2 linked regions of the Stegostoma tigrinum genome follow. The protein of the gene in region 1 purifies or fractionates together with the protein of each later gene. This does not show direct contact. Links are inferred from orthologs where the notes say so. Each region holds a gene or a part of one and is shown on either strand. Other genes may lie near its edges.

Region 1 (7,615 bases):
AAATCTGCTCATAAGGGTCCTCTTGTAGTGCCGTGGCAGTACCCTTTTCCCTGAACCAAGAGGCAGGGTTCAAAGTCTCAGCTGCTCCAGAGATGTGTAATACCATCTCTGAACAGGTTGATTAGAAAAACAGGTCTATGTCTGATCATACTGAGTATATTAAACAGAAACACCTAACAACTAACTTCAAACTCAACCTTTTCATTATACTGAAAAATTTACAAGTCAAGTTGCAACATCACTGGGTTAGGACTCATCAACAAATCATCATCCCAGCCATATCAAGAGACCTGTAAGCTGTACAAGTACAACATGCCAATTACTTATCCACTGGTATATCCAAAGGTTTCTGTACTAGAATTGAGACCCATTAGCTTACTTGGTTGGAAGTTAATGTACTACACTTACCCCATGATTTCCCACCCAGAGCAATTCATCTTGAACGTCAAAATGTGAGGCGGTTATAGGGACTCCGACTTCTGCAACAACCCTATGCAGCGCTGAATACATTCCCTCCACAAGGTGTACAGATTCAGACACTGAGACTGGCATGCCATCCAGCTGGACACCATCAGTTTCCAGTTCCACATTCTGCAGTAAGTTTGGGTCCAGCCTTGGGTCCAGGGAATGCTCAATTGAATTGTCAAGGGAAGTGTCAATGCCAGGATGCAGGGATGGTGAGTATTCCCCCAGGCCAGAATCAAGGCCATCAAAATTCATGGTTTATTCTAGGGATAAAAAGAATAGAGGTACATGGAAGAGAAATATATTTGAATTTAGACAGCAGTTATTCAAATGTATATTAACCAAAACATGTAGGCAAAAATAAATATTACTTCCAGTTTATTGCCCCAATTGAAAACATCCTATCCCCTCTATTATTACATTATGTACGTACCATTTGAAGATTACACTAGTCACGCCTCTACCAGGGAGCAGGAGGCATTTTTAAAAATTCTTACATGAACACAAGCGGTTGCTAGCTACCCTGCAATGTGCAGAAAAACATTCTACAAAATTCTAAATTAATGCACAATTATACCACAGAACACGGAAGCCTGAGGTCCATAATGAAAACGCACAGAATAAAATTCGAATAAAATCACAAAACCCCTTCCAAACTCCAATGGTGTACGACGTAAAATAATAGGCCCAGTGCCTCAAGCACAATGCAGGTTGGGATTCAACCAATCCTCAAATATCAATGTAACTGGAGCACACAACAACCTGCCTTTTTGTAATGACTCCAGCACTGTTATCCAATTATTAAACTAAATACAACGCAAAAAACATTTGACTTACACTTACCATTGATTTCTAAAGTCCAATCTTCCATTTATTTATGACATCAAAGCTACAAATAATGCAAAGAAAACATCAGTCATTCAAAATTATCACCTATTTTTAATTAGTCATATCCAACCCATCTTGGTGGAAGCACTTTTCCGAACAATGCTGAGGATTTCTCCAACTTATGGTAAATCACAAATTCCGTAATATCTTTTTGAAAAGACATTGATCCTTCACTGGGCACCAGATGGCCCCTAATCCAAGTGGACACAACCCTTTTGGGATAGTAAATACTGGCAAGCAATTTAATTCTGCAGGGCATCATAACCATTGTCTGCAACCAACATGCCTACTTCCAGCAGTTATGATTGGATAGCGAGCAGCAGTGGGAATCCTGACCAATGTTTCTCTTTTTAATGCAATAGGTAGACGATCAACAACATAAAAGTTACTGGAAATTCAAGTCTCACAGTAGGACATAAAACCAGTGGTTGAGATTACATTACACTGATTTAGAATGGGTTGTTCTCTCTTTCCCAAATGCCCATTACTAAAATTGCAACTTAAGCAGTAAGAACTTAATGACATCCCAATGCATTTAACAATACCATCTCTTAATAAAATTTTCATCAATACTGCAATGGACAGACTAGATGCCCCAAGTAAAAACAGATTAAAGGAAATTCCCTGTAGCTGAAACTCCTGTCTACTCGAAATTTTCACATTCCAAATGAAACTTTATGGTAGGCAACACAAAGGCCATGTTGACGACAGGTTTTGTAGAATGGAATGGCATAAATCAAATGATACGCCTGTTTATCCAGGACCCCACGTTCCTGATGTTGTAAAGTGTTTATGTAGAATGAATCAAATAATAATTCATGGCATGGTATTAGGAAGAACATATAAACCCAAAAATCAATAAGTAACAAAATAGTGTGTGCAGCAAACTAAGCTATTTTCTGAGATGACACAGTATGGAGCTGGAGGAACGCAACAAGCCAGGCAGCATCAGAACAGTATTTCCCCCGAAACTTCAGCTTTCCTGCTCCTCTGATGCTGCCGGGCCTGCTGTGTTCATCCAGCATCGGCAGTTCTTACTATCCCTAAGCTATTTTATGCATTTCCTAAAAGCGGATTCACGAGTAACACACACCATGGGCAAAGAAAAGGGCAACCAACAATGTAAAAGATACCATAAACTTTAACTTAGTAGATCAAACTTTTCACTGATCTCCAACGTTTTTATTAAGTCTTCTAGCCATTCTAGTATTTCACACTGGACTGGCACAGGTGAAAGGCAGTCTCTTTCGCGCGAAAGTTGGCTTAGTTAATTTGCTGTAATTTGTGCTGTTTTCTATTTTTTTCATTCATAATCTCAAACAATTATCGCCCGGCTGTCATTTCGACAATATTAAGCAGCCAGAGATGATGGTTAAGGCAAAGGTTTGAGGGAAAACGTCAACCAGGCCCAGCCAGCATCGCTGATTGATTTTTCCTGTTACTTCGTATTAAACTCTAGTTACATGGCCAACTTATCACGTACTGGATATTGAACCTACCAGCACTTCCTTTTTACCATTTATCGTATCACATTAAACACAAAAACATAACCAACTATCATTAAAGCAACTCACAAAAGCGTAACAACAAAGCCTATTTCCCACAATCCACTGCAATAGTATTAGTCTGATGGACAAACGTTGCACCCAATCACTGACCCCTGGAGGCGGGGTTGCTCAGTCATCTACGGGTGCTGCTCAGCACCGCAACCGAAGTAAAAGTCGAAACTAAATCCGGGAAGAACATGACGAGCGAGGCAAGTGGTAAAAGAAAGTTGCAGAATCTTCTTATCGTTTATTTGCGACACTTTGTAATTGAATTTCGGGTTTGAGGTACAATGGTAGGAAAGTTACTTCATTTTCTCCGTTTCCCCAATCCCTGTATTTTTGCTCCTCAGCATGGTTCATGATAGGGTAATATTATTGTTGCCAGATCTCCCGGAATTAAAGTTGAATCGTCGGTTCGCTGCTGCTTGGAATAAAAGCTTTTAAAAAATGAATATTTTCAATTATTATTGGAGAGGGGAAAGAATGAGTCAAAAATGCAGTTTATGGAAGTTACTTGGGGACAAGTTTCACGTGGTAATATGCAGCAATATGTACAACCAGAGTTCGCAATACTACGCACAGTTCGAGGTACAGTTTTAAAGCTGCTTGGTGTTATACAAAGATAACAAGATGTAGAGCTGGATGAACGCAACAGGCCAAGTAGCATCAGAGGAGCAGGAAGGCTGACGTTTCGGGCCTAGACCCTTCTTCAGCAAATGACCCTTCACCTACCATCTCTGGTGTTTATGCAAAGTTGAATTTTAACAAAACAGTATGCGTACGTGTAGAAAGTTACCAGTGTAAAAGTATTACACATAATGTGTCATAAATTGGGGCTTTTGATGGAGGAATGAAAGGGCTGAAGGAGTTACACCAGACTCAAAACATTAGCTCTGTTTTCTTTCCACAGATGCTGCCAGACCTGCTGAGTTTCTTCAATTTCTGTTTTATGTTTGAATGAAGGGGTAGTTCATTATTGCATATAAACTATTTCACAACTCTATCCATCTTTCAAATACTGAAACTCATTTTGGACTTGGCTAAAACAAACATGTCAACTTAAAGCTTGTAAATGTTTTGACTAGTTTATCAGAATTCTTTGAAGAAGTAACAAAAAAATGAATAATGGGAAAAATGATATTCTTGCACTGGAGACAGAGAAGGTACACTAGGTTGATCCCAGGCATGGTGGGGGGGATTTTCTCATAAGCAGAGTTGAGTAGGTTAGGTCAACATTCATTGGAATTGAGACATGTGAGAAATAATCTTATTGAAACATACAAAATTCTTAGGGGAGTTTGACAGGGTAGATATAGGAAAGTTATTTCCTTTAGAGGAAAAGTCCAGATCCAGAGAGTGCAATGTCAGAGTAATGGATCATGCCTTTAAGACAGAAATTAGGAGGAATTTCTTCTTTGAGGGTATTTAATGATATTTTTGTCCTAATCAACCTGTTCAAAGATGCCATTACTCACAGCTGGAGCAGGTGGGACTTGAACTCAGGGCTCCTGGCTCGGAGGTTAATTTAAAAGCCCTTTGGGCTGAAATGTACCACAGAAATTCAAAGTCCGAATCTCCTGGTTACAAGACAGACGCTTTAACTCATTTAGCCTAGGCACCTTCTTAATTATGTGATTTTAATCCCCAGATTGGATTTTGCACCAGAATTTGAACCAGAGCTCAAGGTTTGCTTACTTGGCAACATAGCCACTGCACCACCACAACTAGCCACAGAGTAGTGAATCTGGTGGAACTCTTTACTACAAATAGCTGTAGAAGCTGGTTTATTAAGTAGATTCATGGCTGAAATAGACAAATTTGTAATCAGTAAGAGAATCAAGGGTAATGGGAACTGCAGATGCTGGAGAATCTGAGATAACAAAGTGTGGAGCTGGATGAACACAGCAGGCCAAGCAGCATCTCAGGAGCACAAAAGCTGACGTTTCGGGCCTAGACCCTTGGGTAATGGGGAAAAGGCATGAAAGTGGAGTTCAGGATTTATCAGGACCTAGTGGAGCATGACTCAATAGGCCGAATGGCTAACCCATCTAGCCTGCACATCCCTGGACACTACGGACAATTTAGCCTTGCCAATCCATCTAACCTGCACATCTTTGGACTGTGGAAGGAAACTGGAGCACATGGTGGAAACCCACACAGACATGGGAAGAACGTGCAAACTCCACACAGTCACCCAAAGCTGGAATCAAACCCGGGTCTCTGGTGCTTACATAGAAACATTACAACACAGAAAGGGGACATTCAGCTCAGCATGTCTTCGCTGGCTGAGTAAACTAACTGTGTAATCTAATCCCATTTAATTCTCCTATTTGTAAGATCATTGGCAGAAGGGACTGGAAGCAATCCTGAGACCACATGCCTTTCAGTCTCTCACATAGCTCCTTGAAATCTGCTTTCAGGACCTCATTCCTATTCCTACATAAGTCATTGATGTCAATATGGGCATGACCTCACCCTCCCCTGCAGTTTCTCTGTAACATCCATTTACTTTGACACGAGGGAGGCAACATACTGTCCTGTAGTCACTTCAATGACTGCAAAAACTCCAGTCTGATTCCTTAACAGTGGCATCCCCTCTCACTATTGTTGCTCCCTCTCTTTTCTCTCTTTCTCTCTCTCTCTCTCTCGCTGGCTCTCGCTGTCTCTCCAAATACGCCTGAGCTTGGAGTGCTTCCAACTTGGGTCTGGCTGTTGTCTCCTGAGCAAAGTCAAGAGAGATCAGTTTGTAAATAGGAAGCAGAAACGGCTTATTTTTAGGTTGATAAGCAATGATTAGTGGAGTGCTACAGGGATGAGTGGGGGCCTCAACTATTTACAGTCGATACCATTTGGTTGAAAGGACTGAGTCACTAAATTTACTGATGACACAGGTTCTCCGATTAGAGAGAGAGACAACTAGTGGTGGCTTAACCTGAGGGTCACCACACCTAGGGCAAGAGGAGATGTTGCAAAGGAGTGTCCTTGAAATCTGCAGCCAGTGTGGGGATTGAACCTAAGCTGTTATCATCACTCTGTATCACAAACCTGCCATCCAGCCAACTGAGCTAACTATTGACAGGGTGGATGCTGAAAGGATGTTTCCCCTTCTCAGGGGAGTCGAGAACTAGTGGGCACGGTTTAAAAATGAACAAAAACAGAAGTTGCTGGAAAAAAAGTCAACAGGTCCAGCAGCATCTGTGAAGAGAAATCAGAGTTAATGTTTCGGGTCCGGTGATCCTTCCTCCGAACTGTCAATCGACTCGAAACGTTAACTCTGATTTCTCTTCACAGATGCTGCCAGACCTGCCGAGCTTTTCCAGCAACTTCTGTTTTTGTATCTGATTTACAGCATCCGCAGTTCCTTTGGTTTTTAAAAATGAGGATTCTCCCATTTAAAATTGAAATCAGATCATATTTTTTACAAAAGATCATTTGTGGAATTCTATTCCGCAGAGAATGGCTTTTCCACAGTAGTGGTTGCGTCATTAAATATATTTAACAGTTGAATAGATTTTTGGTTGACAGGTCAGTTAAGGCAGGGCAAACAGGTAGCTGGAGGCCACAATTAAATCAGCTATGATCCTATTGAATGGTGCAGCAGGCTTGAAGGGTAAAATGACCTACTTCTGCTTCTATTTCTTGTGTTCTTGACTAATCCCCTTATAAAATGCAAAGTCATGAACAGCTGAGATTACAAACACATGACACAAAGCAATTACACATAATTTATGCTTTAAGTGTAGTCATTCCTGTACTTGTGAACGAAAAGAAAATGTAAATTGGAAATAATCTTGGCTGACACCTTGCAGCAGTGTTGAGCTACCACCTTTCAGACAAGAGTTACACCAAAGCCCGAGATACCCTTTTCAAGTGGACTACTTCAAGAAGAGGACAGTTCTTTTGGTATCCTGAGCAACATTTATCCCTCAATCAGCATCACTTAAATAGATTATTACCTCACTGCTGTAAGTGGGAGCTTGCTTTGCACAATACGATTGCCACATTTCCTACTTTATATAGTGACAGCACTTCCAAATGTACTTCATTGGTTGTCAAGCACCCTGGAATGTTCTCTGTTGTGACAGGTTATTTAAGGACATGAAAACTTGAAGGGGATTTCAAATTTTGAAAACACAAATTAGGTCCTGTGTTTCTGGTCTCTGAAATGCCCCCTGTGAAATTGTGAGTTTTAAAGACAATTCATTCTGATTTGTCACATTTGTAGTGGGGGTTTTAGTAGATTTTTAATCCAAAAAAGGGGGATGGGGGAATAACATTGGGATTTTCAATAAACCGAATTGAACGTCGTTTTCCAAAAGTTAGTTGAACAGCTACTGTCCCACATTCAACCACTATTGCCATTCGAATTTTTGGAGCATCTTCCCACCTTGAAAACATTCTTCATTGGAGATGAATAGGAAAAGTAGGAACAGGCAATAAATGCTGGCCCACCCAGTGATACCCACATTCCACAAGTGAATTTTTAAAAAAGAGCCTGTCCCCAATGATCTATGTTGGGCAGATTCCTGAGGTTGCAGGCCTAAGCAGAAAACCTACAGCTTTGGAAGGCCAACATCTCTACTAAAAGAGATAATGGGAACTGCAGATGCTGGAGATTCCAAGATAATAAAATGTGAGGCTGGATGAACACAGCAGGCCAAGCAGCATCTCAGGAGCACAAAAGCTGACGTTTCGGGCCTAGACCCTTCATCAGA
Region 2 (7,166 bases), on another chromosome or scaffold:
ACGCAGCTTAAACGTTTCAATAGCCTCTCATCATCTTTGATTAAGATACTATAGGTTTGACAAATTCTCTGCTTTAAATCTCATCTCTCCAGAATGATATCACCTTTAATTTCCTGAAGGTGCTCCCCCAGGTCCTCACTGTAACAGTAATAGTGAACATTGGCAAAAGCCTCCTGTAGAGTGTGCAGACCCATATTTCAAGGAGTTGGGAAAAAAGGCAAGTTAAGTTTCAGTTATACAGAAATGGTCATACCCTTTCTTGAGTACTCTATTCAGTGTGGGCAGCAGACGTTAAGAAACATGACAACTTTGGAAAGCACCAAATTTACCATGATGTTGTCAAAAGAATTAAATTAACAGAGCTGCACAACTATAGCTTAACCTAACTTCAAAATAGGGAATAGAAGAAAAGCACTTAAACATGTCATTCATTCCACAAGTCCATGTCAATGTTTAAACACTGTTTCAGTCCCCTCCAATCTTTGCTTATCCAAATCTACTATCATAACAAATGAAAACCGAAAGAACTGCGGATGCTGTAAATCAGGAACAAAAACAAAGTTGGTGGAAAAGCTCAGCAGGTCCGAGGAAGGGTTAGTGGACCCGAAACGTTCACTGTTTTCTTCCTTCACAGGAGCTGCCAGACCTGCTGAGGTTTTCCAGCAAATTTGTTTTTGAGTTTACTGCCATAACACTCATCTCCTTTAGAATCTTGACAAATTTCCCCTTAAATATATCTGTACTGTTTGCTTCGAGCACTACCTATGGTAGATGGTTGAGGGGCAATCAAACTGTGGTAGTTAAAATAATAAGTTAATTGATAGAGTACAGAGAAACTAGTTCCGCTGGCAAAGAATCCAGAAAAGTGGGCATCTTCAATAAAATTAGAGCTGCATCATTAAAAACAAAACAAGGAAACTGTTCTTCCATGCAACGTTTCCCAGAAATGTGGAATCTTCTCCATCAAAAGCTTGTGGATTCTCAACTAAATTAAAAGTTAAGATTGAGGTCAACAGGTTTTTTTTATTAGCAAGGATGTACATGAGTCAGCTGCATGTTATTGGAATAGATACACAGTCAACATAACTGAATTGGATAACGGTACAAACTTGAGGAACGAACAGAAAACTCCAGCTCTGATTTTCCATCTAAGATACTTTAAATTGATATGATCAGTAACTTTATCACTGAGCTTATTGTACCTTATTCCTTTGATCAGCTTATGCCTTACTTTCATTTAAGGCATACATGTATTTGTTATTATTTCCTAACGATCATGAATCAATTCAACTAATTGAAATCTAATTCATCAGAAAAATACCGGATTTATCCAAGTAAAAAAATAACATGAGAGCACCATATCATGTGCAGTATACTACAGCATTGAGATCAGGTTATATTAAAAGTTAACTTTTCAGGTTATCCCTGCCTTCCTGGGAGCACCTTTGGCCAGACATAATCAGAGATAAACAAATTAGTTAAAAAGAAAATTGCCAAGCTGATTCCAACCATTTATGTTTACCATACACTCCCAATTTACTTTTGTTCCATCACTGATGGTTATCCTACAGCTATGTGTCCCCAAACCCATATCTGATTTGGTTTTTGGTAATCTCAGCAAATCTCCCTTATTGGGAGAAAGTCTGTTCAGTCGCACTTCACTGAAATGCCACAGGATTTTATTTTTCATTAAAAAGTGACCAAATAAGTGTAGGTTGAGATACCTATTCCTTGAAGCCTCTCAACTTTTAAAGTATCAAAGCTGTTCAGCATATTTAGAACCTATACCTCAATCCATTAAACTTCAGAATAAACAACAGGTCAATTGTGAATCAACTACACCAAAGAAAAACCTACATCTGTTGTTTACTTGGTAGTTCTGCCTCATGCGGATCAACAAGGCGTGTTCTTCAAGTCTCCCAAAGCTAACATTACACATTTTTCACTTTAGAAAGCATGTATATCCAATGACAAATCACTCTTCAGGACATATGTAATGGTAAAGATCGATCAACGATAATAGAGGCATGTCTACCCTACTCTTCCGGGTGCACTTGACAAGCAAACCGCCGTTTCCTCTACAGGAGTGAGCGTGTGTTTAAAAAAAAGACACTGAATATATTTGCATCGCGCAACAGCGTCTCCTTCGATACGCGGCACCTTCGGGACTAGTTTAATATACGGCACTGAAACATATCCAACATCACACTCACTGGTGAGCAGCTGCCCAGGCTCCACCAGGCTGCCGAGTTCGTTTTTCTTGGGCCCTCCGTGTGGGTATCCTCCCCCGGCGGCACTGCCGCCGCTCCCTCCTCCGCCAGCAGCTCCTCCTCCGGCTCCCGGCGCAGCCACGGCCGTCCCGACTGCCAGTCCCGGGTGGTTTTTATTGACGACAAGACCGAGGCTCGCGGAAGCGGCGCCATTGTTGGGATCCTCGTGCAGGAACTGACACTCGTCGCCGTAGAAACAGGTCTTGTCCTTAGCGTAGTAACGGCAGTACTTCACCTTGGAGCCTCCGCCCGGCAGTGGCCCGCCGCCGCCACCACCACCACCACCACCACCGTTCATGGTAGGCGGAGGCGGGAAAAGGCTGGAGTAAGCCACCTTTTCAAACGGCGGCGGCCACTGCACGCACGGCCGGCGAGGAGGCAGAGCCGCCGCGAGTGCAGATCCGGCTCCGGCCTCCCTGCTTCTCCCACAATTCAAATCCGTGAGCCGAGGCGGAGAAGAACAACAACATTGGAAGGAAAAGGAGCGGGCGGGTGGGTGCGGAAAAAAACACACACACACACAAGCTCCGATGCACCGGCCTCCGTCAATCGATCGGAGCGAAAATAAAAAGACGGAGGATGGCTAAATCGGATCAGGCTCAGGCTCCCCAGCGGTGATATTTATTTCTGCCGATGGCGGGAGCTGCTTTGACCACAGCTACAAGTTTTCCTCTCTCCTTCCTCCCCCCCCACCCCGCTCCTTGTTTTTTTCCGGCTGGAAGCGGCCTCCGCCGAGCAGCCAGCTGGCGCCTTGTGCGCATGCGCAACCCTGGCGCATTCGCACCCAAGGAATCAAAACAAATGGTGAAGAGGGAGGGGGCGTTGCTATCAGCTGCTGCTTCTTTCACTTTTTCTTCCCTCCACACCGCCAAAGTTAATGCGTGCACCTGCTGATCGTATCCTTAACGGTGTTTTCCGTCTCCATCTCGATCGATTATTGTTATCACTGCTGTGTTTCTCCCTACCCTCCCCACCCCCACCACCTCGTATGCAAACAAAGAAGAGCACGATGTAAAATGGAGGCGTTTGAAGCCCAGCGGTTGTTCGGGGACCAGGACAGACCAGATAGAGACAAGCTGTTACGGTTAAGGGAAAGATGGAGAATCAGAGGGCACCAATTCTGGATGATTGGCAAAATGAACCTTTTTTTGGTTAATCCAGCAAGTGGTTAGGGCCTGGAATGCATTGCCAGAGGTGGAGAGAGATTCGTGGCTTTCGAAAGATAATTGGGCAATAATCTGAAAGGGGAGAAATAATAACAGGACTGTGGGGAAAAGACCAAGGATGCAGGGTAGGTGAATTGCTATTCCAGGAAGGACCGTAACCAAACAGGCCAAATGACCTACGATGCAGTAACCATGTTATGACTCCATGATAATTACTATACTAGTTATTGCAACTAAAGTGTGAAATCCTTCACTTGAAGGCTTATTGGTGTTATTCATTTCAAATCCAAAGTCAATTACTTTATGGTAGATGCTTGCTCCTGCTTCTTAAACAATTGCTTAAGAATGAATATAAAGGGTAGCCTTTACAAAATTTAGGTGTTGTTCCTGAAGTCTAGCTAATGCTGAAGAAAGTATTTCTGATTTTAAAAAGATCACAGTGGATACATAGGAAAGTACGTTAATTTAAAAATGAGAAAAATCAAATTAAAAACCCAAGTCTATGAATGAAATGTTGCTGAATTTTGAAATAAGCATCCTACATTAGAAAGAAGATAGAAATATCCATAGACAAATATCCACCTAATCTCATTTTCCAGCTGTTAGTCTGTAGCTCTCAAAGTGCATTTCCGATTATTATTAAACCAGATGAGAATTTCTGACAGTGTCACCTTTTCAAAGTTCTCAATCTGCACCATACTCAAAAGTGAAAAAAATTCATAACACCCCACCTATACCTTTACTTAAAATGTATCTCACATCCTCATTAAAACTCTGTTAACAGAAATAGCTTTTTATCATAGATAATAAAATGTGAGGCTGGATGAACACAGCAGGCCAAGCAGCATCTCAGGAGCACAAAAGCTGACGTTTCGGGCCTAGACCCTTCATCAGAGAGGGGGATGGGGGGAGGGAACTGGAATAAATAGGGAGAGAGGGGCAGGCGGACCGAAGATGGAGAGTAAAGAAGATAGGTGGAGAGAGTGTAGGTGGGGAGGGGATAGCTTTTTATCATTCTGTCTACACACTTGATAATTTTATATACCTCAACTAAATAACTTCTTAGCCACATCTGATCCAAAGAAGTAACCCTAGTTTTGACCTGAAGAATTAACTTTTTTTTCCACAAATGCTGCTAAATTTGCTGGCTATTTCCAATGTTCTCTGTTTTTGTTCCAATATTTATACCCTTTTCTCTTAACTAAAATCCTCATTCCTTGTAATGTCAGAGACTTGCTGAATTTCTGCAGCAACTTGTTTTTGTTTGCTTCTGATCAACAGTTCTTTGTTTTATTCTTAACGGTGATAGTCATTGTTACTGATATCACCTCCCTGTTATCTCCTGACTGTTTCCTGAAGATATCTATATATGGTGGATCAGAGGTTAGCACTGCTGCCACACAGTGCCAGGGACCTGGGTTCGATTCCATCTTCGTCTGTATGGAGTTTATACATTCTACCTGTGTCTGCATGAGATTCTTCCAGGTGACCTGGTTTTCTCCCCCAGTCCAAAGATGTGTAGGTCAGTTGGATTGACTATGCTAAATTACTCAGGGTGTCCAGAGATGAGGTATGGTCATGGTAAATGCAAAGTCTCACAGTCTGGGTGGGATGCTCTTCAGAGGGTCAGTGCAGACTGGATGGGCCAAATGGCTTCTTTCTGCACTGTATAGATTCTATGATTCTGTGTTCGTTACCAGCATCCTTTCCCCATTAGATTACTGAATTTATAGCTCTCATACAATAACATACGGTGTGAAGCTGGATGAACACAGCAGGCCAAGCAGCATCAGAGGAACAAGAAAGTTTGATGTTTTGGGTCGAGACCCTTCTTCAGAAATGGGAGAGGGGAAGGGGATTCTGAAATAAGTAGGGAGAGTTGGTGAGGCGGATAGAAGATGGATAAAGGAGAAGATAGGGTGAGAGGAGACAGATAGGTCAAAGAGGCTGGGTCAGAGCCAGTGCAGGTGAATGTAGGTGGGGAGTTAGGGAGGGGATAGGTCAGTCCAGGAACGAAGGACAGGTCAAGGAGGTGGGATGAGGTTAGTGGGTAGGAGATGGGGGTGGGGCTTGAGGTGGGAGGAATGGTTAGGGAGGCGGGGACTAGCTGGGCTAGTTTTGGGATGTGGTCGGGGCAGGGGAGATTTTGAAGTTTGTGAAATACACATTGATAACCTTGGACTGCAGGGTTCGCAAGCGAAATATGAGATGCTGTTCCTGCATCTTTCGGATGGCGTCATTGTGGCAATGCAGGAGGCCCAGGATGGACATGTCATCCAAGGAGTTGGTGGGGGGGGGTGGTTAGTTGAAATGGTTCACGACTGGGAGGTGTAGTTGTTTGTTGTGAACTGTAATTCTACAATAACATACTACAGGATCATCATCATCTGAAATATTTAATTGGTACACCTGAGTATCTGGAGAGTTCAGGAGCCATTTGTTAATAAGTAACTTCACAGTGACTGCTGGTTCTTGGAACAAGTTAACACAAATGTCACTTTGAAAGGGCAGTACCATCTCCCTTTGTTCTTCAGAGGATTAGGGTTATGTTGCCAAGAATTAAATCTGAGCTCAATAATTGTGCATGAACAGATGATGCCTTCTAAACTCAACACTTTTTGCCTCTGTGAGGTCCATATTCCCCTATTCCATGCATATTACATACTTTAAAGCAAAGTGACTGTTTCTGTTTAAGGCACTTTGTAACTTTAAAGCTAAGTAATGACTGCGTATTGAAATCTACAGCTGTTTTGTTTCAAAGTGCATTCACAGCAAGCCTTAAAAAAATGGCACTCTGTTGTCTCAGGCTAAATCTTACCCAGCAGCATACTGCTGCATACAAAAGTATAAGACTCTTCCCTTATATTGACCACAATTAATCACCATAATATCTAAATGGTCCAAAAGAACTTTTCTCTGCTGTAGATCTCTAATATAATTTTTCTTGCATAATCATTGCACTTAACTAAAGTACAAAAATTGTTTAAAAAAGACTCAATTATACAATATCACCTGCAGATTTTGAAATCACACTGTGTACACCAAAGTCTAGGTAATTAATATATGTCAAGAAAATCAGCAGTTTTAACACACAATCTTTACTTTCTTGGCTTATCCTACTAAGTCTCTTAACAGATGTGTCTAAATTTAGAAGTTTTGCTTTTTTGCTTTCTAGGAGCATATTTATTCTTAACCTTCTCTATCTCCTCCTTGAGTAACTCCCAGTTTTCTAACACTAATTCATTTTCTATTAGTTGTTTCTAGTCCACTTTTGCCAAAAATATTGTCAGATTATTTAATTTGAGTGACATGCTTTAAAGACCTAGGTACCTCTATATTTGCACTGCTGGAAACAGAGTTGAATCTTTTGTTTTGAAATCTTTCTGCCATTTTATTCCTGAGGATGTGTAAGAGTCAAAATTTATATTTAAATGAATACCTATCTGATGTTTGTCTCTAGGTAAAACAGCAGCAATATTCTGAGTTTTGTTTTGCTGTAGTATTGTGATGAGACAATTATTCTCAAATTTGTTGTAGGGAAATTTTTTGATGTCATGACTGGTGAGCAATGAAACAAAAAGAGGAAATGCAGACACTTCCAAAGATCAAGAAGCGAATGCTCAAACTTATTTATTAATTACAGCAGGCTTTTTTTTGTAAAAATGGAATGTTACACTTTGTCAAATGCACAAACTGTATAAAACTATTATATAGGCACAGATTATGATTT

Evidence for each region. The genes of interacting proteins can lie anywhere in the genome.
Region 2: the proteins of pan2 (region 1) and pan3 purify together in Homo sapiens (co-immunoprecipitation; 5 studies listed by BioGRID and IntAct, with this or other methods). This does not show direct contact. The link is inferred for Stegostoma tigrinum from reciprocal best matches to the Homo sapiens genes PAN2 and PAN3.

Annotation. Positions count from the first base shown.
Region 1 is NC_081404.1:18,294,976-18,302,590, reverse strand, and holds the start of pan2 (PAN2-PAN3 deadenylation complex catalytic subunit PAN2), read right to left. Parts: upstream 3,004-7,615; 5' UTR 2,928-3,003; exon of another isoform or gene 2,853-2,927; intron 1,355-2,852; 5' UTR 1,309-1,354; intron 729-1,308; 5' UTR 721-728; coding exon 409-720; intron 1-408. UniProt on the Homo sapiens protein: Catalytic subunit of the poly(A)-nuclease (PAN) deadenylation complex, one of two cytoplasmic mRNA deadenylases involved in general and miRNA-mediated mRNA turnover.
Region 2 is NC_081359.1:78,818,028-78,825,193, reverse strand, and holds the start of pan3 (PAN2-PAN3 deadenylation complex subunit PAN3), read right to left. Parts: upstream 3,014-7,166; 5' UTR 2,569-3,013; coding exon 2,214-2,568; intron 1-2,213. UniProt on the Homo sapiens protein: Regulatory subunit of the poly(A)-nuclease (PAN) deadenylation complex, one of two cytoplasmic mRNA deadenylases involved in general and miRNA-mediated mRNA turnover.